2 linked regions of the Nothobranchius furzeri genome follow. The protein of the gene in region 1 purifies or fractionates together with the protein of each later gene. This does not show direct contact. Links are inferred from orthologs where the notes say so. Each region holds a gene or a part of one and is shown in the gene's direction. Other genes may lie near its edges.

What was found.
Region 2: the proteins of usp49 (region 1) and cetn3 purify together in Homo sapiens (affinity purification with mass spectrometry; 4 studies listed by BioGRID and IntAct, with this or other methods). This does not show direct contact. The link is inferred for Nothobranchius furzeri from reciprocal best matches to the Homo sapiens genes USP49 and CETN3.

What each region holds. Positions count from the first base shown.
Region 1 is NC_091743.1:46,650,976-46,666,721, forward strand, and holds the start of usp49 (ubiquitin carboxyl-terminal hydrolase 49), read left to right. Parts: upstream 1-6,743; 5' UTR 6,744-6,894; intron 6,895-7,942; 5' UTR 7,943-8,053; intron 8,054-8,140; 5' UTR 8,141-8,205; coding exon 8,206-9,594; intron 9,595-15,746. Other genes in the region: bysl (bystin), read right to left, coding at 495-633, 749-905, 1,208-1,481; med20 (mediator of RNA polymerase II transcription subunit 20), read left to right, coding at 1,842-1,855, 2,268-2,413, 3,609-3,862, 3,946-4,167. UniProt on the Homo sapiens protein: Deubiquitinase that plays a role in several cellular processes including transcriptional regulation, cell cycle progression or innate immunity.
Region 2 is NC_091746.1:37,899,101-37,914,892, forward strand, and holds cetn3 (centrin-3), read left to right. Parts: upstream 1-6,389; 5' UTR 6,390-6,533; coding exon 6,534-6,550; intron 6,551-7,401; coding exon 7,402-7,540; intron 7,541-7,905; coding exon 7,906-8,020; intron 8,021-8,103; coding exon 8,104-8,295; intron 8,296-8,664; coding exon 8,665-8,708; 3' UTR 8,709-9,206; downstream 9,207-15,792. UniProt on the Homo sapiens protein: Plays a fundamental role in microtubule-organizing center structure and function. As a component of the TREX-2 complex, involved in the export of mRNAs to the cytoplasm through the nuclear pores.

The sequences.
Region 1 (15,746 bases):
CCTTAAAAATCCTTAAAAATTACAAATAATCCTTAAATACAGTTTCCAAAGGTCTTAAATGACCAAAGACCCAATAAACAAGATTATTTTATTACTATAACATTTTCGTGAATTTCTAGTTAGTGTTCAGCTTTTTTGTGTGTATGATGTTGGCGTAAGCAGAACCGTACACATTCAGTTGGTTGTGAAAGGTGGCTATTTTTAGATTAGCACATTAGCTGGTTAAGCTAGTGGGAGCTTGAGCCATGGGGAAGGGCAAGTTTAATGGCTACTGGATGGATAATCCCACGTTCGCGACGTGGTTGGCACCGGTTCCAGGCAATAGCCGGAAATTATAGCTTAGATTTGGTCAAAGTGGCCTTAAAAAGGTCTTAAAAAGTCTTAAATTTGGCACCCTTAAACCTGCAGATACCCTGGGAAAAGAACAAAGTAGGTGAGATCATTTTTAACAGGAGAACACATTTCAACATAACACAAACAACTGTATAACTTACCTTACCGACACCCCGGTAGACCTCGGTCACCCTAGGGTCCAGCTGGGGCATTGGAACCCCTGATACCTCAGACATCACTGTTCCCACCTCGGTTTGCTTCTCTGTGATCTTCTCCATGATAATATCAGCTAAGGTCCGCCTGTGATGGTCACAAAGAGGAAAACAGCTGAGTATACGAACATAAACTTAACCTCAAAGTGGACTTTAGCAAATTCCAACAGCTAGAATTCAAACAAAGTTGTGAGAAATCTTGCCTCATTGGAGGGTTTTTATTCATGAACATCTCAATGGCCTTCTCATCATCAGAATCAACGATGACTTCAGTATCACCCTCCACATCACCATCCCCAGCACCTGCTTCTCCCAGAACTGGCCAATCTTCATCTGAGTCAGCATCCTGGGACTCAGGGCCTAAAATAAACAGGTCAGACAACATTAGAAAATATTATTCATGCATTCAGCAAAGACTTATTTCACCTAAATAGTTCTGAGAAGATCACGCTGGGAACTATTTTTCTCTGTGATCGTCTGACATTTTGTCCACATAAAAAACATTCGTCATTAGTTTTATTTTTGCAGAGAAATAAAGGGATGTTGCATAAGTAACACCGTATAACTAATTACAAAAACACTTTCGTGGTTTCTACGCTTGATAAACCAGACTTAATTAAAAAAAATACTGCCAATTTAAGGTCCGAAACCCTCCATCATACCGAGAACAGTGACTGGTGCTTTCCTCTGCTCAGGTGCCAGGCCATACTCGGTCTGCAACTCCTCTTGTTGAATCCGGGCCTGTTGTAAGATTTTCCTTGACAGACGTTCATCCACGTAGGTGTCCTCACTTTCGACCCGGGCGTCTCGATTCTTCACCCGGCCTCGGGCTCGGATCGTGTCCGCCTGGAGGATCTGGTCGGCCAGTGGCACCGCTCCTCCTCCGCCACTCTTCTCTCCTCCACCGCCACCTTTAGCTCTTTTCACTTTCGGCATCTTTCAAGAGTGACTCAAGCTGCGACGACGCTGTCCGTGTTTTGTTTTACCATTAGAGACACAAACAACGCGGAGAAAGAATTCTGTAAACAGTCTGTATTCTACACGTGCAGATTACCGTACGGCGGAAGTGACGATATACGTAACGTCTGTGCACTGAAAAACATATATATAACATACCATTTTATATGATGTTGATTTTATATGTTTGTATGTAACATACATTTATGCAATATGATTATAAAGTTTCTTGAGTTTGTTTTTTAATTTTCTGAAACAAGGTCGTTTACGTGCACCGGAAGTGTAAATGTTAATCCGGAAGTAATTGCTTCACGAGTGTTTTTTGCAGGCGAGAAATCAATGGGTGTTACTTGGTAAGCAGATTTACTTATGTTGTAGTTAAATGCTAACTGTAATAATATTTTTGTAATATATTTTATCACGCTGTGCATATGATTTCGTTTGGCATGTGTAGCTAACTCGGTGAATGTAGCCTTTATTTGCTTCCAAACCGTTTTACACTGAATAGAATAGTGTTTATTGTCGTTGTACGGTGTACAGCGAAATTAGAGTGCCACTCTCTTTAGTGCAAAATGGAAAACTATACAAAAAATAATACAGAAATAATATAAATGTAAAATGAACAGTAATATATATATTAGTTGGGTTCAGTAAGCAGAATTTTAGCATATTGAGTAAACAGAAATAGGACATTCAAATGTTATTGCACATGATCAATTTTGAACAGGTTGCTTCACGGTGTTGTGTTGTTCTTGTGCTGTGCAGTGTTTGCCAGGTGCCCGTGGCGGAGGGGAAGAGTGTCCAACAGACAGTGGACATTCTGCATAAGAAGCTGGAGCAGCTTGGAGCTGTGAAGCAGGGCAACTTCTGTGTAGACTGTGAAACATATCAATCAACAGTAAACGCTGGCGGTAATTTTCAGCTATTAACCATATAAATATTATCATTCCTGTTGTTTAGGTGCTTTAGATGGATAGTCTTCTGCATTGCTATTAATACAACTTGCTGCAGGGGAATTTGTCATATTTCTTTGATTAAATTCTGCTTTTTGAAAATGTTCTAATAATTATGTCAAATATTTGACTTAAACTCAATTGTCCAGGATATGTGTGCCTTGTGACAAATATATTGTCAAGCTATGTAATTTTCATTTTTACTGATCTTATTTCTCTGTAAGGTTAACAAAAACAGTCATCCATTGGGTAAAAATAGCCAGATTAAAATACAGTTGGTGTGTTTTAGAAAGGTTTTCTGTAAATCTTCATTACTATGTTATGCAAGGTTAAATGAGCCACGTTTCCACTGTATCTTTCCCCAGAAGTCAGGAACATTTAAAAAGCCCCATCCACTGCAAGAATCCGCTTAAATTTGTTTAAATGGGACAGCAGTAGCTCAGGAGGTAGAGCGGGTTGTCCAGAAGGTTGCAGGTTCGATCCCGGCTCAGACCAAAGAATTCTGCTGTTGTGTCCTTGGGCAAGACACTTAACCTGCCTTGCCTGCTGGTGGTTGTCAGAGGGGCCGATGGCACCAGTGCTCAGCAGCCTCGCCTTTGTCAGTGCGCCTCAGGGCATCTGTAGTGACATCATAGCTCATTCCCACCAGCGTGTGAATGTGTGTGTGTGAGTGACTGTGTTGTGAAGTGCTTTGGGGGGATGTAGAACCCTGTGAAGGTGCTATACAAACACAGGCCATTTACATTAAGCTCCTTGAAAAATAGTTTTTATTTTTATGTTTTATAAACATCCGCAACCCGGGGTCTATAAACGTTTGATTTGGCATTTATCTTTCTAAGTTACTACTAGTCTTTTTTTTCCAGGTTTCCACCAATGAGTCCATTAGCAGAGCAGTAAATCATGATCTAATTTAGCTCAAGTGTCCTCCAGAAAAAAAGGTGTCTGCTCTCGCATCCCTCATAAGCAACATTTATATAAACAGGACATGGTATGATTCTACTACTTACTTGTGTAATTTTAAACTTAATAAGCATGCTGCTCTAATCTGTGTCCAAAAATAAAAAAATCATGCAAAGTCATTATGCAAAAATTGCATTGTTACATTTTGCTGTTCTTCATGCAATTTCTCACTTTAAGTCTGGGTTTGTTACAGGTCAGCCCTCCAAGCTCCTTTATGTAATGCACAACTCTGAATTTCCCCTGAGCTGCTTGGCTCTGTTTGAAGGAGGACCCTGTTTGGTAGCGGACACAAACTTTGACGTCCTCATGGTGAAGCTGAAGACCCATTTCCAGAATGCCAAGGGACACAAGGTGGAGTGTCGCGGTTCGAGATATCGCTACTGTGACTTCTTGATTAAAGTTGGCACGGTCACAATGAGTTCCAGTGTTCGAGGGATATCAGTGGAGGTGACAGTTTGGTATTATCAGTTAGACCAGAGGCCCATTGTTCTCTTTTTTGACAGGATTAACCCTTGATGTGTTTTCCTCAGGTGGAGTACTGTCCCTGTGTGGTTCCAGGGGACTGCTGGAACCTCATGAAGGAGTTCATGCTGTCTTTTCTTGGCAACAATGTTCCTGAGCTTCCCACTGTATTTGCTGCCAAGCCTGAGGGTCTTTTTGCACCAGCAGACTCTGTCGACACCATGACTCAGTACCTGGAGTTGTTCAACAAGCTACGGAAGTTACAAATCACAGGAAGCAATGTGCACTAATAACATTTTTTAATGATTGTATTGATGTGTGTTAAATGTGGTCCTATGGAAACCGTATGATTTGTATAGTTCTATTTTTGTAACTTCAGTTTTGTATTTGTTTACCCTGATACAGTTAAAAGGAATACAGCTACAATCTATAGATGCAAATGCTCAACACAGACAAAAATAAAGACAAAAATCTACCTATTTCTGCAAGAAGTAAAAATTCCTTACACTCGGTGGGGAAATGTTGGTGTCACAGCAGCAATCATTCACATCAGGAGCAAAGAAGAACAAAATCCTGTAACATATGCAAGAAATTCTTAAAACATTCAATCGAATAAAAAAAATCTGTGCAGATAGACGAAGTTTATAATGAGGAGTGATGGCATGAAAGGAGAAATGTGTAAATAGGGACCTGGGATTACTCTCCGTGCACCAATGGATGCAGCATTCTGCCGCTGTAGGAGTTCCCCAGCTTCATGCATGGGGTGGAAGACATTGTGTAAAAGTGATGCTAATTTAGCCAGTCCTGTATCCCACCTCCTGCACTAGATCAAGGAGAAATCCTAGGGCAGATGTAGTGTCAATAAGCTTATCTAGTCTCTGTCTTTCAGCAGTAGCTATGCTGCTGACCTAACAAACCACACCATCAAAGATGGCTGATGCCACCATTTAGTCAAGGTCTGTAGGAGCACCCCCTGCACTCCAATGGACCTCAGTGGCATCAGCGGGTAGTGTGCTCTGGCCCTTACTGAAGAATATCTGTGTTATGGCCTCAGTTTGCTGTTCAGGTGAACACCCAGGTCATTATAAGAGTCCACTACCTCAATGTCTGTTCCCTGGATGTTCACCGGTCCCTAACCCAAAGACCTGAAGGTTTGATTAGAACACAAAACAAGAACTCCCACATGCACTTCAACAAATCACTTAATTCACATTCAAGAGTGAGATGCTTCTTATCAATAACATTATTTAGGAATGTAAAGAAAAGTCATCTAATGAGACTTAATTCAAAATAAAGACCAAAGTTAAAAATGTACATGAAATACATGTGGGGAGAAGATGTAAAAACTAAGTTGAAATGTTTCCATATTTGAAGTTAGAACAGTTTAACCCTTCACATGTCTGACGCATTAAATTAAAATACACACACGTTATAAAATGAACAGTTTACTGGACTATATAACTAAATGACTTAGTGATTACATTATTTATGTAATTAAATATAACTGTATAATTATTATTACCTGTCGCCTGTAATACACAGGTCTTCCACTAGAGGAAAACAGACGTGTTCACTGCAGGTTTCTGATGATAGTATCTCTTTGAGTAGTTCTGATGATAGTATCTCTTTGAGTAGTTATGTTCTTGCTGTGCAGAAAAGTAACCGCTTGCTGCTCTAGTGTCTCGGGCTCTTTGTCTGACGCCTCTCCTGCTGCGTCGTGATCTTCTACTGCTTTTGCGTAGCTTCTGTGTCGGGTTTCCACCATTATCACCAAATCCTCTCGTCTAGTATATTGTTCAAGTTCATCAACTCTTTGCTCTTAGGCCGAAATCTTCTTATCTTCAGTTAGCAGTATTTTAAGCTCCTTCACCTCCTCCATCAGTCTCATTAATCGATCCTGCTGTGATGTTACTTTTGACCTCCTCCAGGTCTTCTGTGGCCATTTCTTTACCTCGTCCACCCGCTCTTCCTCCTGGCATCTCTTCCACTCATCTGCAACCGTCGTCCTCTGGTCCCGTGCTCATCGCGACACGATGAATGTTGTTGGGCCTGCTTGGCTCAGCAGCACCCCTCGGCGCTGCTGGGGGCCGGGCCGATGGAACCGCGCCGGGCTCAGGGTAGTACAAATCTTATTAAAGAGATAAATCTCTCATAAACGTAGTTATTTTAAAATTAAATATTTAGTTTTTCATTGTTCTATATTTTACAAATATTAAAGATGTGTAACAATTTTTCACTTATAATACTCCTATGCATTTATTGTCTATGTGGCAAAATATCTAGTTTTCTTTTTAAACAATTACTAGTATTTACAATAATTTAATACTTTGCAATATTTAAGAAATTGTTTTGGCAAATACTGAAATGCTTTTCTCACAATAACTAAATGTCTTTTTTTTTACTTTTTTTTTTTTTTTACAAATATACAGACGACCTTTACCATATACAACATGACCTAGCTACTATAGATAATTGTTTTGTTTTGTTAGATGCAAATGCAAATGTAGCATATCATGAGTTCTATAAACAGCCCAACATATAAATTCCATTCATTAGGCTTTTCATAAACATTAGAATGTTTGTATCATTTGTTTATTTATGTGTCACACTTGTTACAAAACTTTGTTTTACCGCCTCTTCAGCCCCTTGAAGCCAGCACTCCTCCCCCCTGTTCCCCGGTATGCAGCACGGCCCCAGCCTCGGTTATTGTTCCATGTGGCCTCGGTGGGTGGGTGGGTGGGCGGACGGACGGACGGTCCATCCTGCCGCCTGTTGTTCCGCAGTTGGACCAATGAGAGCCCGGCTTCCGATCAGCCCCGGTCCAATGAGAGCAGTGGGGTCTGAGCTCGGATAGAGTTGGGTTGTTCAATCTGTGCGGAGGACAACAAGCCGCAGCTCTCAGAGTACCGGATGGATGGATAGGTGGATCAGTGTCGGCGATGTTAACAACACCGATCTCTTTCTGACGTCGGACTTTCTAACAAGCCTCGTTTCAGCCGCGTAACCGGCTCGGTGAGGTGAATGTCACCGGGGTAGTTTTTAAAAGGTTAACGGCGCAGTTTGCTCGCGAGCTAAGCCATTAGTTAGCGAACAACAACAACCATTAGATTAACTTCGATTGTCTTCGGCAGGAGCGTTAGCAGCGCGGCTAATGCAAGTTATATTTAAGCTAACAGTGTGTACTTCGAGCAAATAACATAATCTGTGATTAACCAAGCGTGTTTATTCGCGCCGCTTCGCTCGTGGCTAACCCACGGAGCCGAGCCGCTGTAGCTAGCGGTTAGCCGGGCTGCCTCCAACCAACAAAGTTATTGGAGGTTCCTGGAGAGAGTGGCTCCGTGTTCTTTGTTCTGGCTGAACATGGTGATGGTGGAGTAGCTTAGCATGGCGTTAAGGAGTCAGCCTGTCCGAGCCACGCTGCAGCAGTTAACACAAACACAGCAGAAAGTGGTTTAAATGAAAAATGTTAGCAGCTCGATGCGATTATAGAAGACCGTTAACATGCATGGCGGCGGCAGCTCAACATAACAGGGGTTTAAACTAACAAGGAACCAGTTGCTGCGACCCGAGGCAGCGATGGTGCCTGCAGCATCTGATTTGTCCATAAACTCTAGTTTCCAAATAAACAAATCCGCCAAGCTTTGTAACGATGTTGCTTTAGTGAATCACATTTTAAATTAAGTTTCATAAAGTTCAGAATATTAACGCTGAAAGACAGAAAAATAAGCAAATTTCTGATTCAAACTTGTTGTCAGGGTTAGAATTATTTTCTTTAGTGTTTCAGCAAAGCTCACGATCAGTCCAGCAATTGATCTAAAGCTACACCAGTTTTGTTTTAAATAACATCTTATTTATTTTCCTTTGTATATATGCATATTTTATTATTATTATTTTAACTTTGAGACAGACCTAGATCTAGGGATGAAAAATGTAGTTTCCTGGTGATTAATGAATCCTTTTTTGCACTGGTGTTAACCCTATTTGTTGTCTCACCTTGTAACTAATTAATTGACTTAGACGTTCATCGCTGACACGTTTTATGCAACTGTAATCCTTGTTTTTCAGACCCGTCCTGATGGTGCTGGTGGTGACCGTGGGCAGAGCTGAAGTTGCTGCTGAGCTCCGAAGATGATGTGATCTTTTGTCCCAAACCTGATCAAGCTAAATAGTTTTATTGTTAGTTTTTATTCAGTTATTCTCTACAGCATAACGTGTTTAATCTTCATTGTGGTTTTGTGAACAGTCATTTATTATTTCTTTCAGAATGAGTTGCTGTTTGGCTGAAGGACGTGCGTCCTTTCACTGAGGCCACATGTGTGTCTGGAGAGATGGACCGCTGTAAACACGTGGGACGCCTTCGTCTAGGCGAGGACCATTCTATTCTCAATCCTCAGAAATGGCACTGTGTGGAGTGCAGCACTACAGATTCGGTGTGGGCCTGCCTCAAGTGCTCCCATGTGGCCTGTGGACGCTTCATGGAGGAACACTCGCTCAAACACTTCCAGGAGTCCCAACACCCATTGGCTATGGAGGTGCGGGAGCTGGATGTCTTCTGCTTTGCCTGTGGAGACTATGTACTCAATGACAATGCAGAAGGAGACCTCAAACTCCTCAGAGGGGCCCTGTCTACAGTTCGGAGCCCAGGTAGACGCTCGCTGCGCTCTTCCACCGGGGGGGAAGGCGGACCGCAGCCAGCCATGCAGCTGGCCTTTCGCCACAGGAGGAAAGTGCTCATGAGGAAGATGCTCCAGATGTGGATGAGCAAACACCAGGAGCTTCAGAGTCAGTGCAAAGAGAAACTGGAGGAAGCTAGGAGACAAAAGAAGGAGGTAAAGAGGAGACTTATGGAAGAACTTGTTAGTGTTCCTCCCAGAAAGAGTGCCAGGCTTCTAACTCAGGCGCCACGTTCAACCATCACACTCGTTCCTCGCAAATTTCGCGACCCACCTGAACGCCTACCTCCTGTTCCTCCTCCTAAGAAGCCTTCGATTCTTGCTGTGCCCCGCAAGGCTCCCCGGAATGGCAGAGCCACCAAACTGAGGAGATACTACTCCACACATGCTGTAACACGAAGGAAACTTGCTCCAGGTGTCACTGGTCTGCGTAACTTGGGGAACACATGCTACATGAACTCGATATTGCAAGTGCTGAGCCACCTGCAGAAATTCAGGGAGTGTTTTCTCACTTTGGACCTATGTGAGACAGAGGAGCTGCTAGCCAAGACCAATCACTCCCAGGGAGTGAAGGCCATGCCTGGGGGGGTTGTCAGTGGGAACACACCACTGTCAGATTTACCTCTGGGACGTATGGGGAAGGCGGGCTGTTGGAATTTGCCTGTGGCTAATAAAGAAAGTGTCCCTCCTTCCTCCCAGGCAGCAGAACTGGTCCAGCCCAAGGAGCCTCGCTGCTCCACTCGCCAGCAAATGTCTCTGTGCCATGAGTTGCATACACTTTTCAGGGTCATGTGGTCAGGCCGGTGGTCTCTGGTCTCTCCCTTTGCCATGCTGCACTCCGTGTGGAACCTCATTCCAGCTTTCCGTGGTTACGACCAGCAAGATGCCCAGGAGTTCCTGTGTGAGCTACTGGACAAGGTGCAGCAAGAGCTGGACACGGACGGGTCAAAACGGCGGATTGTCATTCCCATCACAAAGAGGAAGCTCTCGAAGCAAGTGCTGAAGGTTCTCAACACCATCTTTCACGGGCAGCTCCTCAGCCAGGTTAGTGGATCAGTTCTGTAATGCTGAGTCATGAAAGCGTGCTTGAAAAGTTGTAGAAATTTGGAAAATAAAGAAAGAAAACTTATCATGATGCGCTTCACAAGAACAAAAATTAAGATAAAAAAAAAATTAAATCTACGAATGAGATCAATGAAAAAATTTTGATTTAAAAATGAAAGGGAAAGAGAAAACGAACAAGAAAGAGGGAATCCCAGGAAAGGCGGAGTTGGTAGAAAGAGCTGAATAAGGGGAGGGAAGTGATGAAGGTCCCACCAAAGCCAGTATGAACAAGTGAGTTTTCAGCTGCTTTTTGAAGGAGACCACTGAGTCCACTGATCCCAGGCTCCACAGTTTCAGAGTCTGGGGGCCACAGCAGCAAATGATCTGTCACCCTTGGTCTTTAGCCTGGTGCTGCACAACCAGTAGGCTTTGGTCACTGGACCTCAGGGACCTGCTGGGGGTGTAGGGACTAAGAAGATCACCAATTTAAGATGGTGCTTGTCTATTGAAGGCCCTAAAGCAAGCAGTAGTCTTAAGTGTGAGGAGATGAAGGTTGTGGATAACGATCTCAAGTTCAGAGTGAGACAGAATGGGCCTCAGCAATGTTCCTGAGATGGAAGAAGGAAGAGCCAACAAGAGAACTGACATGAGAATCCAGGGTGAGTGCTGGGTCAAAGGTCACACCAATATTCCTGACAGAAGGTTTGGTGTGGGAAGCAAGCTGACCAAGAGAGTCTCTGACTTTGGGAACCAGCTTGTCTGGGGCACAGATGAGGATCTCAGTCTTATCTTCATTCAGCTGTAGAAAGCTCCCAGCCATCCAGGCTTTGATAGAGTCTAAGCAGGAGTGTAACAGCTGCAGCTTAGACATCTCATGGGGCTTAAAGGAGATGTACAGTTGGATGTCATCTGCATAAAGATGGTAGGAGATTCCCTTAAAGGAGCTCAGGATCTGTTGAAGAGTAAGCAGCTAGAGGAGGAAGAGTAGGGGCCCTTCAGACACCATGGGTGAGGGAGGTCGTGGAGGACCAAAACTTAAAGATGGCTATATAGAAGGAACGTTCAGAAAGATAAGGGGAGAACCACTCCAGTGCAGGGTCCTCATTTATCAAGCTTGCTTACGCACAAAGCAGGGTCGGAAAACTGCGTAAGCAACTTTCCACGCAAACTTTGGGATTTATAAAAGAAAACGGAGTGGAAAAATGTGCACAACTTTAAGTTGACTAAGGACCTGGCTTACGCACATTTTGGACATGGAGAGCACCTGCAGTGCTGCTGCTGAGAAGGATAAAATTATGAATTCCAGCAGCATTATCACTTGTACCGCTTCGTGCGCACACAGAACAAATGAAAAACACCTGAGCACATTTTTAGGTAGTTTGTGATTTATAAAGCGGAGATTGTGTGAAGCTGTGCATGCTCCATGTTTTATAGGTCACAAACTAACATGGCGTAAGTAAATTTTTTTTTGCTGAGCTTAATTACGGTTTTAGTAAGGATTCTATGCAATGTTTTATAAATGAGACCCCTGGTCCTGATAGGCCTTCCCAGTCTCTTAGCTTCTCCAGTAGCAGGTGATGGTCAACAGTGTCAAAGGCTGCAGTCAAGTTCAGCAGAACCAGAACAGAACAGTCCCCTGCATCACTGTGAGTCAGAAGGTCATTAGAGACCCTAAGAAGAGCGGTTTCAGTAGAATGAGCTCTACGAAAACTTGACTGGAAGCTATCATAGATGTTATGTTCATCAAGAGCAGCTGTGAGTTGTTAAGCCACAACCTTTTCCAAGATCTTGGAGATGAACGGAAGTTTAGAGATGTATCTGAAGCTGCTATGGAGAAAGGCGTCAAGACTCGTTTTTTTTAAGAAGCGGGTGAATTACAGCATTTTTAAAGAAAGCAGGGACCTGACCAGAATTCAGAGAAGCATTAATTATAGAGAGCACGCTGGAACCGATGGACTGAAAAGCACTTTTAAACAAAGATGAGGGTAAGATGTTGAGGGGGCATGCAGAGGTCTTCATAGAGTTAACTAGTTTGGTTAACTCAGGCAAAGAAACAGGAGCAAAGCTATCTAGGATGATGGGCCTGGTTGGAGTCGGGAGAGGCAGCAATAAGGCTGAAGGAGAGATGCTAGATCTAACCTTATTGACTTTGTCCACAAAGAAAGACAGAAAGTTCTCACAGTCTGTAACAGAGTGGATGGAGGCTGTAGGAGAGGCAGGAGAGACGATTCTGCTGATGGTATTAAACAGCACCTTGGGGTTCCCTTTGCTCTGGGACACCAGGTTGGAGAAATAGGAAACCCTCGCGTCTCTGACTGCAGAGTTAAAGGATGTCAGAAGGTCATTTAGATGGAGCACATGGAGACAGGTTTCCTTCCACAAGCTCTCAATTTTTCTGCTTCGATGCTTCAGGCTGCGAATGCTGTCATTAAATCAGGGTGTAGGGTTCACTGCAGGAACTGATCTGGTTCTGACAGGACAGATGTTGTTCAGAATAGAGCTTGTTAAACTGAGAGGTTAAAAAATCTGGGTCATAATCAGAAGAACAGGGGGAATTAAAATCAGCTGAAAATTTGCTAGTTGTGCTCTCGATATGAAAACGAGAAGTTACAGAAAATGCAATGGTGATTTGATATAAACGTCCTTGGGACAAACACTGTCATTATTTAAACCCATGGTAAAAACAAGGCCCAGAATGTGCCCCCTGGTGTGTGTGGGTCCGGAAGCATGCTGAGCAAAGCTGAAGGAGTCCATGAGGCTGGAGAAGTGGTCTGAGGCATCATCAGTGTGGATAGGGATGGGTACCTTTGACATTTGAATCGATCCGGTACTAATACCCGGTACCTACGAATCGATACCGGTACTTAACGGTACCAATTTTCGATACTTTTGAGTGTTTATTATTTTAATTCTCTTTTATAATTACATTTATATTTTTCTCAATATATAACAATATTTGATAAATATCACGATAAATAACATTCAACTGTTTGTATTTTAACATCGTCCTTGTAGTTTTATAAGCTGATAATTTAACTGAAGCAAACATCTTTACTGTGAACTAAATTTACTGTGCATCTTCTTTCCTTTTGCCGTCTTTTTTCATTTGATTTTTCCTACTGGGAAGTTAGAATTTCCGAGGAGAAAGCGAACGCACCATTAGCTGATAACAACGGTCGCAATGGAAGCTAACATATCAAGCTAACGTTATCTTTAACAGTTTATTTAACTGCTGGAGCAGATTAAAATGATGATGCCTCACACTTAGATCGTTGTCGCTGGTTTCATCTTCACCCAATCACCCGTTGCATTTAGTAAAGTGAAGCCAAACTTTAGAGCGCGTTCATGTTTATCTAGTCAGAAATTTGGAGTTCCGAGGAGAAAGCGAACGCACCATTAGCGAAATAGAAGCTAACATATCAAGGTAACGTTATCTTAAACATTTTATTTACCTACCGGAGCAGATTAAGATGAGGATGTCTCACTTAGATCTTTGTCGCTGGTTTCATCATCACCCAGTTACCCATCACATTTAGTGAAGTGGACCCAAGCATTAGCGTGCATTCTTTCTACCCATGCTGCTCTGTTTACAACTCGCTCGCAGGGGCCGACGACATAACGCTCTTGCGCATGCGCAGCTGTCTTGGCAAGTTCTCGTTATGAAGGACGGGTACCGAAACGAGGCACCTTTTGAAATGACGTGAATCGGTGCTCGGTCGGTACTATGGAATTCGGTCGGTACCTTAAAAAGTACCGAATTCGGTACCCATCCCTAAGTGTGGATGTTAAAATCACCAACAATCACCAGTATGAACAGCTTCACAGTGGAGGATTAAAAGTCACTAAACTCCTGAAGGAAAGAATGATAAACCACAGGACAGTAAAATATGTCTTTACCATCAACATATATACTAGACAATTCATGTCCATAGGCTCAAATTAAAATGTTTTTGTTCCCAATTGGGAGGTTCCCACCACCGCCGTTTTGACCGTGTCACAGGTCCCGTCACGCTCAGACAATCTAAAAATAGGAAACAGGGTGAAACAGTGTAGCTACTAGCTAACTTAGCTAAGCTAAGAAGGAGCTTCTTGGGCCGGGATGTCCGCCGTTGTTGATTGTCCCTTCTCCAGGAGCCAAAGATCAGCGGGACATTAGCCACATACTAACTCAAAGTTAATGGAGTTTTTCTGGTCGTTTTCATTAAGAAAAATGCGCTTGAGCGACTCAAAAGTGAAGCAGCGTCAACAAAAAGAGCCGCAGTGTTTTTGTGGTCTCCCTCAGAGATCCACCATTGACCAGCATGACTACAGCCTCGCTTCGGAGCCGGCCTGGCTGCCCCGGGAAACGGGAACAGCCAGCCTCCTGCTATTCTCAGGCAGGAGACAGGAGAAGCTGGACAACCGCTCAAGGTTCTTATGCAGCCCCACTAACATGTTTGACCAAGCAGGTAAATGACACAGCATTTCCCCCATTCAACCAATGAAATGAAGTATAGAAATATAAATGTACTTACTGATTAAAAAAAAGCAGAAACTGCTTGAATGGTCTTTTAGCGCAGTCAATAACCACACATCTTTCCTTTTTGTCCAACTAGTTCCATGATTTACATTCAAACACAAACACACAGAAAAAAACTAAAGTTCAGAGAGTCGAAATGGCTGAACATCTATTAACGTGAGGCCGAGGCCTGGGCTGAGGCCTTTCTCCAGAGCTAGTGCTAAACTCACGTGGATGCTCATTAATTGTTCAAATTTTTAAGATTAAATAACACTTAGCATAGCATAGTTTATTTATATAGCACATTTAAAACGCAGCATGGGAGCTGCCCAAAGTGCTGCACAGGCTAAAACAAAACACAACCATTTGAGCAGAAGAGTTACAAAAAATGTCACCATCTCAGAGTTATTAATGTAAACTAGATATATTAAACCTAAAATGGGTTTTTGAACCAGGCTGTAAATATGTTTATTTCTGCTGTAAAATTGGCATTTTTACCATGGGAGTCGATGAGGATTTGTTCACTTCTGCTGCCAGACCCTTGCGGATGAAAGTGGAACTGCAATTTTTGTCACTTCCTAGTTGGCATCAAATTTGTTGCAGAATTGTGGCGGCTTGGTCCTTGCGCCCAACTTAAATCAGCTGCAGTTCAAAGGAAGCAAATCGACCAGAGAAAGATCTACATGCAAGATGGTCTCTACAAACAATAGCTATGCCGCCACCTTTACTAGAACCCCGGGGCTGGCTAAGGAATGAATAACCACTCGGGCAGAGTTCAGTCAGACCAGGATAATGAGATGTTTGCTGCTAAACTTCAGTTTGAAACAGAAAATTCAAGATTTTAGAGAGGATTAGATCATTGAGCAGGAATGACTTATTGGAGTGGGTATTTAATAAAGCCATGCTAAGTGAGGTGGAGGAATCAGAAACTACAGAAACAGGTGGACTTAGTGGACATAAATGAGCAGGATTAGATCCACACAAGGCTGAAGTTAGCTTCCAATTCCAGCTTCCGATTCAGGAAATGGCTAAAGGGCAATTAGACTCAATTTTTCTCTACTCTGACCATCTTTAATTTGCTCTAGCTCAAAAACTACAACACCTACACTCTTCAAACCCGTACTAAATTATTCTAGACTAATAGCAAATTATGTAAAACATAGTTTGTGATTTGTGAAACCTTTTTCTGACGTTGTTTTGAAAATGGCAGTAAAGTCTGGTCAGGACTAATAAATTCTTCTCCAAATTTGGGTTGTTCCAAGAGTTCTGTTACAGGTGGGATATAGTTTAAATAAAGGAAAGAAAGAAAACGATTTTTATATAGCGCCTCTCAAGATTAAAACAGTGAGGCGCTTCACATAAACAAAAAACGATCAAAGTACAAATAAGATAAAAAGAAACGATCAAAAATATGTTCAAAATGAGAAAAATATTTAAATTGTGATAAAAAAATAATAATGTAAGGAAGGGAGAGAGGGAAAATGAATAGGAAAGCAGGAAATCAGTGGATCACTGTAACGGTAGAATGAGTAGAAAGAGCAGATACATTCTTTTACAGTCAAGAGGCGTGTTTAACAGTTTAACTGGCTGCTAATATTGTTAGATTAACTCAAAGCTGTTTTTACTTTTTTACGATCGGTTCTGTTCCAGTCAC
Region 2 (15,792 bases), on another chromosome or scaffold:
GCTTAAACCATTTGAGTAAAATAAATGTTCATTTACAAATATTTATCTTTCAAGTAAAACTCCAACAGTTAAAATGTGGGGAATTTTCATATGTTTTGTTATTAATGCATGAAGGACCTCCATTCAGTAAAATTAAATCTTATTTTGTTTTAACAGTTTATTAGCTTGTTATTTCATTGTGTTTTGTACATGAATGACAGATTTGTGTAGTCTAAACAATCAGACTTTAGTTAGCTTAGACGTGTCCAGGCTGCTCCAGGAAAGGATGATAAAGTGGTCAAACAGAAAACAGTGTCTTGTCTGTCTCAACATTTTAATGCTGTGATTTGTCAAACTGTGAAACATTTTATCTTGAGTAAATGTAGAAACCATTCAGGGAAAATTAATGATACTTCAGTAGCTTGATGAGGTAAAATAGTTTTTATCACTCAATATTTTTGTGCTAAAATCCCTTTTAAAAATTCCTTTTCATGTAATTTTTTAAGAAATTTTCTAATTTGACACCACATGAGTAATGACCAGAATAGAAATGTGTTGTGGATGTCGAGGCCAAAAAAAATATCTAATTATAACTCATTACTAAAACAAATATTAGAAAGCATGAATTAATTTAAACACAGAAATGTGCAAAAGTTTTTCATCTGAACACAAATTAAAAAGCACACTTTTAATGAGACAGGTGAATCTATTCAATATAATAATAATAATCATCTAGATAATATGTGATAATGTATGTTATTTAAAGGTGTGGAACACTGAAAAACATCTTTCAATGATTATTTCTGATTATAATCAGTTCCTCTGAGTTTTTCATGCAGGCATTAGCTTGTGATAGAAAATACACTCAACAAAATATAAACACAACACCTTTGTTTCTGCTCCGATTTTTCATGAGATGGACTTAAAGATCTAAAATTCATTCCAGATACACAATATTACCATTTCTCTCAAACATTGTTCACAAATCAGTCTAAATGTGCGATAGTGAGCACTTCTGCTTTGCTGAGATAATCCATCCCACCTCGCAGGTGTGCCACATCAATATGCTGATCCGACATCATGAGTAGTGCACAGGTGTACCTTATACTGCCCACAATAAAAGGCCACCCTGGAATGTGCAGTTTTGTCTCACAGCAAAATGCCACAGATGCCACAAGCATTGAGGGAGCGTGCAATTGGCATGCTGACAGCAGGAATATCAACCAAATCTGTTGCTCGTGCAATGAATGTTCATTTCTCCACCATAACCTGTCTCCAAAGGCGTTTCAGAGAATATGGCAGTACATCCAACCGGCCTCACAACCGCAGACGACGTGTAACCACACCAGCCCAGGACCTCCACATTCAGCAGGTTCACCTCCAAGATCGTCTGAGACCAGCCACTCAGACAGCTGCTGAAACAAAACTGTCAGAAACCGTCTCAGGGAAGCTCAACTGCATGCTCGTCGTCCTCATCGGGGTCTTGACCTGACTCCAGCTCAATTCTCCATCAACTGCAAGATGCTATCCTATCAATATGGGCCAACATTTCTAAAGAATGCTTTCAGCACCTTATTGAATCAATGCCACATAGAATTAAGGCACTTCTGATGGTGAAAGGGGGTTAAACACTGTATGGTGTTCCTTATAATCCTTTAGGTGAGTGTATATGCAGATGACATTCAGCTTAACTGCTCCTTTAAAGATTCTGAGTTCTACAGTATAAACTGTCTGAATTACTAGAATGTCTTTCAGCTATCACCAGCTAACTAGAAGAAAACTTCCTCCTGTTAAACTCTGAAAAGACTGAATGTCTGGTCATTGCCCCTAAGAGCATGGTTCCCCTGATTAGCCTAAAATTTGGTCATTTATCCTCTGCCGTCAAGACAAACTTGAGAAATTTGGGTGTTGTTTTTGAGCAATCAATGTCTCTTGAAGGCCACTCAAAATCATTGACTACGTTTACATGCAGCCAATATCCGGGTTATGATCGGGTTAAGGTCGGTATTCAGGTTTCTGAGTTGATCAGAATAACCCATTTACAAGCATAAATAGAAAGAGTTACCCCTGACTTGCATAACCCGATTTAAATGCGGACGTTGGGGTAGCGTCAGGACGTATGGACTACGTCAAGACGCAATATGCTGTTCCCTTCTTGTATATTTCGCTGTCTCTGTACTTTCGGCCATCAACAAAAGACATAATGTTCATACTTTTCACCAGACCGATGAAGACAGAGGTTTCCTCGTCACTTCAAAAGTGTGGTGCTGTGCCGCGACTCGCTATGTTGCTCCCAACTTGTTGTTTACTTCCGGTGTTCTGGCACATACAAGACGTCTCGCTATTCAAAAGACCAAGATTCTTTGCGAACAGAGCATGCGCAGAACACACGCTTTGATGGGGATGTCCCGATATGCGTTTACACGACCAAACATTTGGGTTAGAAAAGGGTTACCCCAGGTGTAGTAACCGGGTTTTTAAAAACCCGGTTATGAGCATTTCCGGGTTTTTGGCGGTGTTTACATGGCCGTGCGGAACCGGGTTATTGTGAATATTCAGGTTTTAAAAGGGTTACTGGCTGCATGTAAACACACTGATTGGTCCGAAACAGTTTTTATCACTTAAGAAATATCTCCAAACTGCGAAGGTTGGTGTCAAAACATGAACTTGAAATGGTCATCCATGCCTTTATCTCCTCCCATCTAGATTACTGTAACACACTTTTCACATGATTTTTGACCGCCTTCAGTTGGTCCAGAACTCTGCAGCAAGGCTCCTAACTGGAGCAAACAGAAGAGCACACATCTCTCCTAATGACTCTGCACTGGTTAGCTATTAACTTTAGAGTTCAGTTTAAAATACTGATTCTAACTTTCAATGCTCTGTATCAGGGCAATTCAATTCAGGACCTCAAGGGCCGGTATCCAGCACGTTTTGGTTTTAACCCTGCTTTAACACACCTGATTTCAATAAGTGGGTGATTAACAGGCTTCTGCAGGTCCTGATGGGCTGCTGCACAGGTTATTCACCCACTGTGTTGGACCAGAGAAACCACTAAAATGGGCTGGATACCAACCGTCAAGGCCCTGAATTGTAAAGCCCTGCTCTTCCTGGTCAAGCTCCAACCCGAGACCCCAGGTCCACAAACCAAAACCTTCTAGAAGATCCAAAGACCAGATATAAAAGTCGAGGTGATTGGGCCTTCCAAACTGTTGCACCCCGCCTTTGGAAAGATCTTCCTTTATCCTTATGTAGCATTGACAGTCTGGTCACCTTTAAAAATCTGCTGAAGACCCTTTTATATAAAGCTGCTTTCACAGAAATCTTTTGTTTTCTTATTATTAACAAAAAATTGTAATAATCTTTGTTTAATGAAATTTTATAATTTTATGACTTTAATTTTTTCTGATTTTAATCTATTTCTATTTTGAGATCATAATGTTTTATGTTGTTTTGATCTATGTGAAGCCCTTTGTGATTCAATGTCTGTGATGGGTGCTATATAAATAAAATTTACTTACTACTTGTTGGTTTAGTGTCCAGGAAACAGCAGAGAATGCCTCGACTAGTAGAAGCTAACCGTTAGCATTAATGACTCTACTACAAAGCAGAACTCCTTCAGACTTGTATTATTTGTGGAGATAAAACATCAACGTTGCAGAGTGAACGGAGTCAGTGGCAGAGTCACATAGCTGTTATCCAATCAGAGATGAGATGTCCAAATATGACACATATGACTCCAAATCCCATCGTCTGAAGATCAGCTGTGATGTGGCTCACTTCTAGTTCCTGAACCTGGCGCACCAGAGTTTTTTTTGTTTTTTTTTTTTTACCCAGAGTATGACTTACAAGGCTTTCATTCCTACTGGAGAGAACTGCAAATGTATTGATTGGACGAATGTTTCACTCCTTTAAAATACAGGGTGGCTTTCTCTCTGGTAATAAAAATATATTTGCATTTTAACAAATTCATGCTAAAAATAAAATTAGATGAGAGTTTAAAAAAAACAGGAGCTAAATGTTTTTTTAAAGTGAAACACTATTTGCTCACAATGTTTTTAGTCTTGACTGAACCCTGCACATGTATTAAAGTATGATGAGACCCTCTGGTGTTGCTTCTGCACCACAAACCACCAATCAAGCCCCTCCACCTACAGCCTCATTTCCCAGAGTAAACGCAGCACCACAATGGGCTGCAGCGGTTAGTTGGAAGACAACAGACACAGCCCAGCTCGCTGGTCCAGGCTCACTGTTCCTGTGATAGCGTGCTCACACTGGCTTTTGAGCCTCAGCTCTGTTTATAGAGGGGGCAACCTGTTTACAAGATCCTGAGTTTACACTCAAGAAATGAGCTTTAACGCGTCAAAGACGGAAATGGCTATTTAAATTGGCTTACCTCTTGCAAAAGGCAGATTACAAAAATATCAGGAGTTGCAGGTTTGGAGCCCAGATCTGGACGTCTGTTTTGTTTCAGGTTTACAAACGGAAACAGTTTAATTGTTTTATTGTCAGCAACTCTCGGAGGAAAAACCAGACAAGCTACAGTTTTGAGTCATGTTGCAATTCCCTCAAACACAGAGCGTAAAGGTTGAACTTTTAAGGCAAGGCCAATAAGACTGGCATAACTATGAACCATTTAGAACGAGATCAATACAGTGGGGCAAAAAAGGTTTTCCCACTTAAAAAGATGAGGAAGGTCTGTAATTGATATCATTAGAGATGCATCAATACCACTTTTTTTCCAAACCGATACGATACCGATACTTGAATCTGATTACTTGCCGATACATATTACCGATACTTCTACCACACAAAAAATACAATGAACTGGAATACAGGTTTAATTTAATTTTCTGCTTTCAACAGGAAAAGACTGTGATGTAGATTATATATATATATATATATATATATATATATATATATATATATATATATATATATATATATATATAGATAGATAGATAGATAGATATAGATATGTATATGTATATATATACATACATACATTAATAAAAATGATCACAAAACTAAAATTTTAGGTGAACAGAAATGACAAGTTACAGTGAAGCCACTTTCAGGCAGCTGCATTGCTATCGGTTCCTTGTATTGGTTAACTTTTATCGATACCGATACCAGTATCGCATCGGTGCATTCCTAGTTACAGTTTGCTTCAACTATGAGACAGAATGTAAAAAATCCTGGAAGTCACACTGTAAAATTTTCTAAGAAATTATTTGTATCATGGTGCAGAAGATACATATTTAGTGCCTACATATGTGCAATAATTCTGGTCCTCACATACCTGTTACTTCTTCTTTAAGAAGCTTATCTATCCTCCACTTGCTGACTGAATTAGTGGCAACTGGTATCTGTATAAAAGACACCTGTCTACACCTTCAGTCAGTCAGACTCCACCATGGCCAAGACCAGAGAGTTGACAAACGACATCAGTGTCAGGATTGTACACCTGCACAAGATTGGCTTGAGTAAATCCACAACAGGTAAGCAACTTGGTGGGAAGAGATCAACTGTTGCAGCAATTATTAGAAACTGGAATAAATACAAAATCACTGACAGTATTCCTCGACCTGTGGCTCTGTGTAAGATCTCACCTTGTGGGGTACAAATGATCTTGAGAATGGTGAGGAAACAGTCCAGAAGTACATATGGGGAATTAGTGAATGACCTGAAGAGAGCTGGCACCACAGTGACAAAGGTTACTACTGGTAACATACTACATTGTTATAGATTAAAATCCTGTGGCACTCAAAAAGTCCTGGCGATGTTAGAACATCCACAACTTAGTTTAGAGAAAGAAGATTTTTCCTATGAAAGAGCACTCTTTGGTGGGCAAAAACTAAAAGCAGCACTTTTTGGCAACTCTGAACTCTGGCTGCTTAGAATTTCTGAAAGTTAAGATTTAACTGGGCTTGGAATAATAGTTTTATAAAGCAGCTTGAACGTATGAGACTTTAACAGCTGGTGGAGAGGGTGTCCCCCCACCCCAAAATTTTTTTTAAAACAAAATCAAGATTTGAGGTTCATAAAGACCTTGTGAGTGTTACATTAGCACGTGAAGTCATTAGAATAATTCTCTATGTCCAAATTCACCAGATATTGAAAATTTTAGGAGAATTTAGGTACCTTACATAATATACAGGCCCTTTCTTCTTCTTTATGCAATGGTGATGTGTCAGAATATTTTTGATTCATCATTGGTTTGTATGTGTATATATATATATATATATATATATATACCGGGCATATGTATATCCATCCATATGTATAATATAGACTGTGGTATCAGTTATGAACACGAGGTGGCAATAGTGCTCTAATTGACTGCATAGAGCAATGACAACGACCGGGTAAGCGGCCTTGAAGAAGTAACATTAACCAACCAGATCTCGCCTAACTGCTGCCTGGCAACCAGCGACCAATAGGATTCCTGGTGTGTGAGCGCGGATAAACGGATTTGTTGTGTTTGCTGGAAGCTGTAGCCACATAGCATTCAGAATAACATTTGGTTTAAAGGTTTTATAAATTCACCTGGAATGAGTTTATCTCTAAGGTAAGGAGCTAACCTTTTGTCGCGAGATGTGGCTGTTACAGTTCAGTTGAAACCGGTGGTACGTCGAGATTTGTTCCCCAGTTGAAAAACGTACGCCTTCGCTTGTCTCGTCAAGATGATTTCGTCCTGCCAAATTGTACAATTATAGGCGTAGATGTTATTTTTTTTATCAGGATAAGACATTTATGAGGGAACGAGTCCCTTGTGTATAACTGTAAATTGAGTAATATTATCTAATTGTATCGTAATCTGAATTAGATTAGAATTAGTGATATTCACTAAACATGATGAATTTCACAGCTACAGCAATGACCAAATGATTAAGATATATATTTTTAGGGATTTTCTTGAAATAATATTGCTAAACACAACAGTTTACAAAGAAGCTGGCGGAGAAACGGTGGGGGACCCGAATGTACTAGTTTTTTGTTTTGTTTTGTTTTTTTCCATCTGTCAATAAACAATTTCCCCCAGACTTTTGGAGGTCCTCCCAATGTTTTTGGTAAATGTGGGTTGTTTTTGTTGTTGTTGTTGTTGTTCAGCAGAGGCTTTGGAGAATGAGGTTTACCTTATTGTTGACACATGACCTTAAACCTTAACCAAGTTTGACCTACAAAGCTTTAGATGTTCTTCTGGGTTATTTTGCTTTTGATTTTTTTTAGAACAAGGCATAAGGTAGATTTTTTTAAGATCCTTTAGCCTACCCTGTGTCATCAGAGAGACCCCAATAAACATTACAGAAAATGGTTTAGTTCTCATTGGATAACAAAGTGTATGGGTTAATGCATTAATAAGTCATGGCTGTGATACAGGTAGTGTCTGAGGTGAGACTGCATGTGTGTTTGTTTCAGCAGAACTGATCTTGCAGCTGAGACAACCAAGCGCAAGAAGAGGAGGGAGCTCACCGAGGACCAAAAGCATGAAATTAAAGAAGCTTTTGACTTATTTGACACGGATAAAGATAAGGAGATTGACTATCACGAGCTGAAGGTAAGAAAATGGGCCATAGTGGTGGTTGTTATGGTTACCTTATGGTTTTTGTGCCTGAAATAATGCCGTATATAAGTTATGCTTTTATAACCTCATCATTCCTATTTTTCTTTAACTGCTGTGAATGTGGAGCACCAGGTATTTATGTATTATTATGTAAGTAAAAGTAACTAAATACCATTTAATCACCTTTTGGAGAAACGCTAATGGGTTTTCCATGTCTGAAGGCACCCTGCTGAAATAAAGCTCCAGGGGAATTGGAGCTAACGTTCTACAGCAATAACATTTATTTGTTGTTTTAGTGCTAGTTACTAATTGTTCTAATCCTGAATTCAAACCAAAACAACATTTAAACATCTTGTCAGGTGGCGATGCGCGCTCTCGGTTTTGAAGTGAAGAAAGTGGATGTTCTGAAGATTCTGAAGGATTACGACAGAGAGGGAAGTGGGAAAATCACCTTTGAGGATTTCAGCGAAGTGGGTAAGGTGGTCATCGGCTCTGGTATTACCTCATAGCTTGAGGTGCTTCATTAGCTACTAAACCTTTTCCCTACCCCTCAACAGTTACGGATCGCATCTTGGAGCGAGATCCCAAAGAGGAGATCATGAAGGCTTTCAAGCTGTTTGACGATGACGAGTCAGGAAAGATCAGCCTGAGGAACCTGAGACGGGTTGCTCGAGAACTCGGGGAGAACATCAGCGACGAGGAGCTACGCAGCATGATCGACGAGTTTGACACAGACGGGGATGGAGAAAGTAAGACCGGAGTCTGAGATGAGAGCAACTCTGTCTCTCTTTTGTTGTGATTTTGTGTCTGATTAGAGCCGCAGATGCAACAATACCAACATCATCACTGCATCTTCTGGCACACACAGGCATTTTAATTATTTATATGATTGTTCCTAACATTGTTGCTTTCACTGTTAGACCAGATCCTGTCACGTCAGCAGGCATCTGCTGCCCTGGAACAAAATAGATTTACTAACGACAATGTGTAAACATGTTCAGTTAAAGTAACAAAAATCCACTGCTGCTTCGCTTTTTGTTTGTTTTCTTTCATTCTTGCGTCTAAGCTTTCCAGGTAAATCCAGTAGATCTGACCAGGTGTTTTTCCCTTCTTTTCAGTAAATCAGGAGGAGTTCCTCTCCATCATGACCAGAGACCCATGAAGAGGTTTCCCCATCTGTAAGTTGGACTCTTTGCCCATATTGGGAGGAGATATGGGCCTTGTTCTCTTGCTTCTGAGGTGGACTGGACTTTATCAGGAGCCTGGAGCTTTGTTCTGACTTGGTTTGATAAATAAAAGCACCAGATCGTGTCTGGACCAACATCTGCTCACACTGCTCAGTTCCTCTCGTAGACATGAAGTGTCAATATGATGCTGACCTGCTGGCATTTCTTTAAGAAGCGAGCTTTTATTCATGGAGTGTGTTTGTGTAGAAGACGAGTCTGAAGCTCCGTTAGGAACGTGTTAATGTGATGTAGTAAAACACAGAAGATCAGATCTGTTTCACTCGTATCCTATTTGACCTGTTGCAGTTATTAGTTAAATGTGGCATATTTATTTTTAAATTGTTTTGCCAACCCTACTCATTTGTCATTTCCCAAAGAGCCAGAGTCGTCAGACCCGGCACCATCATACTTTAATAAAGTACTTTCAAAGTTCAGCATCATGTTTGAATGGTTGTTTTGTGTTTGACATGTGCGGTGGCCACAGAAGAGGCAGGAGAGCTTCAGAGTTTCTAGTAAAACACGATAAATTTAGTGTTAAACATGAAATACACACCCCTCAGAAGGTTTGCTCCAGGCTTCAGGAAAGGATAACAGTTGTTGAACCTCAGAATCAGGATTGTGGCTTTTGTCCAGTTCACTGAACACCGGATCAGTTTGTTGCCGAGGTAATCCAGTCCACGTGTGTTTGGTTAGTATCTACATTCTTAGCGGGGATGCATGGATCCCTTTAGGACCATGTAAAACCAAAAGAAGAGGTCCGTCCATGTTCCCAGTGTTGAGAAACTTTAATGTCATGGTTCTGCTGTGGTTTAAACCATGGCCGTTGGGGTGCTCTGGGCCAGTTCACAGTCAGGAGATTCAGCTTCTCCAACTATAAGGTCATGGTTCTGAATCGGATAAAGGTGGAATGGTTCATCTGGGTTTAGAGAAGAGGAGGAGTTTGTGTATGTTGGTGTCTTCTTCACACGTGGATCATGGCCTCAGCTGCAGCAATGGCACAGTTTCTCTGGGTCGTCGGGGCAAGAAGGAGGAGCTGAAAGGAGAATGTCTCCATTTACTTGTGCATCCTCCAGCCTATACGGCCACAGGACTTACCCCTCTTTACCAAATGAAGTCATCTAAGGTGGTCTGGGCATCTGATTAGAATGCCTGCTAGTTACAGCCATCGCAGAACATCCGGGCGCTGGAAAGACATCTTGGGCCTGACCCAGGACTCTCCGGAGTGGACATGTGTTCTCTCTAGCCTGCAAACATATTTGGGAGGAGCTAGTGAGAGTTGCTGAGAAGAGGGAGGTCTGTAATTCCCTCCTGGACTATCACCTCCACGATTGACAGATGGATGGATTGATTTACAACTCTGCAATGAAATAGGACGTCATCTGACTCCTGAACCTAATCGTTTTTGCAGCATGGGGTTATTGATTCCTTCAGGTTCTTCCTAAACATTCCAGAACTGGAACATCTTCAAAGTACATCCTAACATCGCACAGGTGATGGATGGATATTAAAGTAAACACCCGCCAGTTAAACTGTAAGAGACAGAACTGCTGTCAACAAGTAGAGCTCAGTCATTACAGGGAAAACGCTCAACTAAGACGCTAACTCCTGCTAACCGGGGCTGCATGTGGAGAAAGCTAGCCTGGCAAGCCAGACTAAATAAATGTATTATTTAGTCTGGCCATGCTCCATTGACGGCTCTCGGTTGTGGGGCGGGTTCTACCGTTGTCTTTCAAATGATCTCCGCATTCCACTGACTGGACAATGAATGTGACATACTCTTGTTTCACTCTGTTGCATCATCCCACCCACCAGGCATATAGAGTGCCCTGATTGGCCCACAAAGCGGATAAAGCTCTGTGATTTGTTCACCAAGCAGATAGAGCACTGTGATTGGCCCACCATTATGGACCAATCACAGCTCTTTATGTGTTTGAAACCCCTCTAGAGAGCTGTGATTGGCTAGCCAGAGTCCTGGTAGGAGCTGCTGAGGTTCCAATGGAGCGTGCCTAGACCAAACTTTGCAAAGCAAGAATTTGGTCTAGTTCACTAGGCTAGGAGAAAGCCGGACCAGTGCGCAGAAGCTACTGCTTAAAACAAGCAGATGCTCTCTCCTGGACCTGAGAAGCTCCCTGCTGCACTCTAATGGTCCACTAGATGGAGACATTAACTCAGGACTACCGCCAAGAATCAACTGTCAGGTCCACATAATCAGTCTGGTCTTTGGGAGTCTCGAGGTGGATTATCAGACCTTGCTGGGTTGAACTGTGAGCCAGTAAAACTATCTGTAACATTTAAAATATGACACTTGTTAAAGGATAATTAAAAGCAAAAACATTTATAGGCCTACTGTGATGGTGCATCTGCATTACCAATAAGTTGAAAGTCCAGGATGAGTTGTGTTTGCCGAAGCTATCAGAAGAACAGCTGTTTTATTTTATTATAGTTCAAATAATAAAAACGGGCTTACAGTTCTAATGACATGAAAACAGACAGGGCATTATGGTTATACTGATTTATCCATCAAACTTGATTTTCGTAACTTTTATAAGTTGCTCATTATTTTCTCACACTAACACACAACACAACAGGAGACGATGAATAATTCAAAAGCATCAAGCTGACTTTCATCCATGTTCCTGGAATATTTGCAGGTGTAGATGATAAATTAGCATTTAGCAGATTGGTGTTGGAATCACGCTGAATTGGTAGCTAGGTATTCTCACTCTTCTCACATTTTCTAAGCTGACAGGTGACCAAATGTAGATGTGATCCTGACGAGTGGGATGCCTGAGAGAACATTTGTGTTTTCGACATGTTTGAAATTCCAGCAACATGACGGAGCGGCTCTGAGACTCGTGAGGAAGAACTGGAAACCAGCACAAACATTTTGGAAACTTAAAAAGTACGTATGCTGTTTGTTATGATAACTGAAAAATAAAAGTACCCTAAACACAAGTCTGATTTAGCTGGAGCAATAAACTGTTTCATGAACAACATTTGTATGTCGCAAAATTAGATGAAAACATTTGTTCAATGTCTTATTTATTGTCTCCAGTTAATCTGTGTTATTGATGGGGGTCTCCTTCTATTGTCTGACATTTCACACCAATTCTGACTCAAAGTGAATAAAGACGGGGCCAGGACTGGCTCCAGACGTCTGTGACAGCTCGGAGACAGTTTTGAAGAAGATCAAAGTTCCACCATCATGACAGCAAGACCCAAAGAATCCTCACAGATGTTTCAAGCCATTTTGGAAACTTCATCAGTCACAGTCCAGAGATAATGATCATGTTAGAAAGGTCCCATGCTGAAGTGATGGGCTTCTGTATCAGCTCCTGCTCAGACCACAAAGGCAGAGCCACAAACCCCTTTAGGAGGATCCTCGTGAGAGGCTCCCTGTCATTAGCCTCTGCAGGCCTTCCAGGCTGCTCCGGATCAAGGTCTCTGGTGGTGAGCTGCTTCACTGTCCCCGCTCCCGTCTGCTGCCCACAAGAGGACCAGGACTGTGGCTCACTAACCAGTAATAACAGCCGCCCGTCTCACAATGACAGAGTCGGGGATGCTGTGGTTTCTCGGCAGACAGCAGAACTCTCTAGAAGGGTAAACTGGAAGTAAAGCAGTGATGAGCGGCTGGGAAACTGTGTGTGTGTGTGTGTGCGTGCGTGTGTGTGCGTGTGTGTGCATGCACATTCAGGCTGAAGGTCAGCCCTAACGTTGGTTATCAGAACCTGCATCTGGTCTTCTCAGCAGGGATCGAGACTCGCCCTTGTCCTGGCACATGCTCAGCTGTTGGTCCCTGGACCGGAGCGACGCATGTTCCAGAAATAACCCAACCCAGTTCCTCCCCAGCTACAACCTCAAAGCCCCCCAACACACACACACACCCCAGTGGTTTCTACTTTACGACTCTACACAAACGCACAGCCTTTTGTATTGCTAGTATAGTGATCTTTGCCGATGAGACTCCTAAAAATACGTTGGACCGGCGGGGTTCTGCCGGTTCTGGTTAAGATGTGATGGCAACGCTTCCTTAACGCTTTGATTTCTGATGGGCCAACAGGATGAGGGCACATTTACTGAAGCCCTTTAAACTTTGGCTACTTTGTCGATGTGATGAAAATTCAGCATGTGCACTCTGGCAGAAGAAAACTCAGAGACAGAACAGAAAACAGCGGGAAAAACGAACTAGAGCTACGTTTAAAGTAATGCAACAACCGCTGACAACCAAACTTTATTCATTTAAAAGATATTGAAGTAAACGTAGCATCATATGTATTTAATAAAGAGAAAATGTTCATATAAAGGAGGCAAAAACTATTCACTAAAATGATATGAAAACAGTCCTTCAGCACACACATCTTCTAAATATTTCCTTAAAATGCCACTCTCATCCTCACCCACACTGCTCCTCCAGCTGTTGCTGAGTTCTGTAGCTTGTATGAGAATTTGATCCATCTCGTTGGGATATGAAGTATTTGTCAGGATACAACTGGAGACAGAGAGGCATCTATGAAAATGGAGCCAAAGCAAACATTTGATCAGGTGAAATTAGCTCAGAAAAACTCCAGAGCTACATTAATGAGCCTCAATCATAAACTGCCTATCAGACGAAGATGAGTAAAGAAGTCAATCTGAATTTTCAGGAATTATCCGAACTCATCGCTGGCCTATTTCTAACTTATACCAGCATATGTGTAGCAAATGTGTGTGTGTGTGAGTGTGTGTGTGTGTGTGTGTGTGTGTGTGTGTGTGTGTGTGTGTGTGTGTGTGTGTGTGTGTGTGTGTGTGTGTGTGTGTGTGTGTGTGCCGTGGGTGTAACTATCAAGTGTCTGATTGATAACTAGAGTCAGATTTCAGCTTGAGTGTTCACCTGTCAGTCATTAGGCGTAGCTATGCCAACCATGTGACAACATTTCCCCTTTGACCTGCTCTAGCATTGGTCTGGTCCATACAGAATATTTGTTTTCATTTGTTATTTAATTTGTTAGGATACAATGTTCAGCCAGATTTGTTCACAAGTCAAAAGCATAATTTTAGCATTTCAGTAAACACTTTTGAAATGTTTAAAGTCATGTCAATAATTGACAAACCACAGATTTTATTGTCCAGGTTTTTATTTAATTCCAGGGATCTGATATATATAGAACATAAAAGATTAAACTACAAATTAAATATCTCCAAAAAATAATAATGTTTTCTAAACTAGCCTACATTTTAGATTCAAAGTTAAAGATAATTTAAACTAGTCATTTTTTAGTCCTACAATATAGAATTTTAGAAACTGTCATATCTATTCATTTACTTTTCATATGCTTAGTTATTTATTATTACCCCTTTTATTGACCCAGATGAAAAATAATAGAATCACATGTAGTTACAAATAAATCACATCAGTGTGAAACATAGAAATCAATAGAGATCCAAAATCGGGTTCCATGAAGCTAAAGTGCCCCCCGGTTGTGTAGGACTTGCCTCCACATCGTGAGTGAGCAGACTCTGGTTATAAAGACACAACATGGCGGTCCCTGTGAACGAGCTTTAGTTTTCATCAACAAAAATAGGTCAAGATCTAATCTTTTAACGCAACTCAATGTTTTGTGCAGTGACGATCTTTTCACATTTAACTTGTTTTTTTTAAAACGTGTCCATGACTAAATATGCAATTTAGGATTTAGAGCTCTTCTTTAATGGTGATGGAGCTCAAAGCGTGGCATGGTGATTACATCATATCTGATTATAAATTTCCCCAGAATAATCTTTGATACGTGTGAATCAGAGACGGTCAATGTGATGGAGGACGTCTCTCAGGCCGGCAGACACAGACGCGGGGAGGAAATGCTCCGAGACATGCTGTGGACCGTGGACTATGCCTGGCAGTTGGGTGAGGTTGGATTAGTTTACACACGCTCATGGCTTTCACTGTAATTGTATCTCCTGGATTTGCCAGCTTCACCCAGCCTGCATCACAAAGCAGCAGAGCCTCTCGGAGAACCCAAAACCCGTTTTTGCATTTTCGACCTCCTTACATGTTGTCAGAGGAAAATTAAGCACCACCTCACTGTGGTGCTGAGACATTTTTAGAGGATTACAGAAGGAGTGGATGAAGAAATGATTCCAGGAATAATATTTTTAGGGTTTTTCCTTCACTCCTCACACATCTGGTTCTCTTATTGCTTCTGTCTGTGCTTGTTTGCGTTTCTGCAGCGCCTCATCTGGCCGTCCGCACTGAGAGGGGAGAAGGAAGGTCACAGGCAAACACAGGAGCTGTTCTGGAAATGATCTGGTGATGCAGCAGCCATGCTTGTGATATAGAAAAATGTTTTTAATTTCACCCCCATCTTCGCCAACCTACGTACAACTTAACTCAAGTAGCCCAGACAGTCCGAGGAGGACAGAAACACTGAGTCCTGCAGATGAAAATGATCTGTTAAAAAAGAAAGGCCAGTGTGAGAAGAATGAACTGCAGAGGTCAGCTTAGTGTTGTAGGTTTCAGCTAAAGCTGCCCAGGCGTAATTTAGAGGAATTGTCTTTTAAATAAATCCTGAAGCAGAAACTGACTCAACAGCTGTCGATCAATGTCACAGCCCTCATCACGCAGGCATGATTGATATGAATACACTGCATCAAAGTAAAATGCCTTGTTTAAAAGTGACAATGTGTAGTTTTTACCATTAATCTCTGGAAATGTCCATCGCAATGTTCATGTAAATGACTTAAAAGATGCCCAGTTGTTGAAAAATGTTGGCAGTTTCATAAAATATGACCATAAAATACATGGGAGTGGGTCATGTCTCTGGGCGATGCCATGTTTCCTTCCATGGAAGCCCGTGAGGACAAAACACATTTAATGATTTGTAACAAATGGTTACAAAACTTTCACCAATAATAAACATTTAGCTTTACACATTTACTTCTACACTCCTTGCTAGTGATGAAAGGGACTCTGATGTGTTTGTCATTTTGCTGGAGGTTGCACTCCCAGGGATTTTTTACCCTAATTGCCATCTGTTGGTAAGGTCT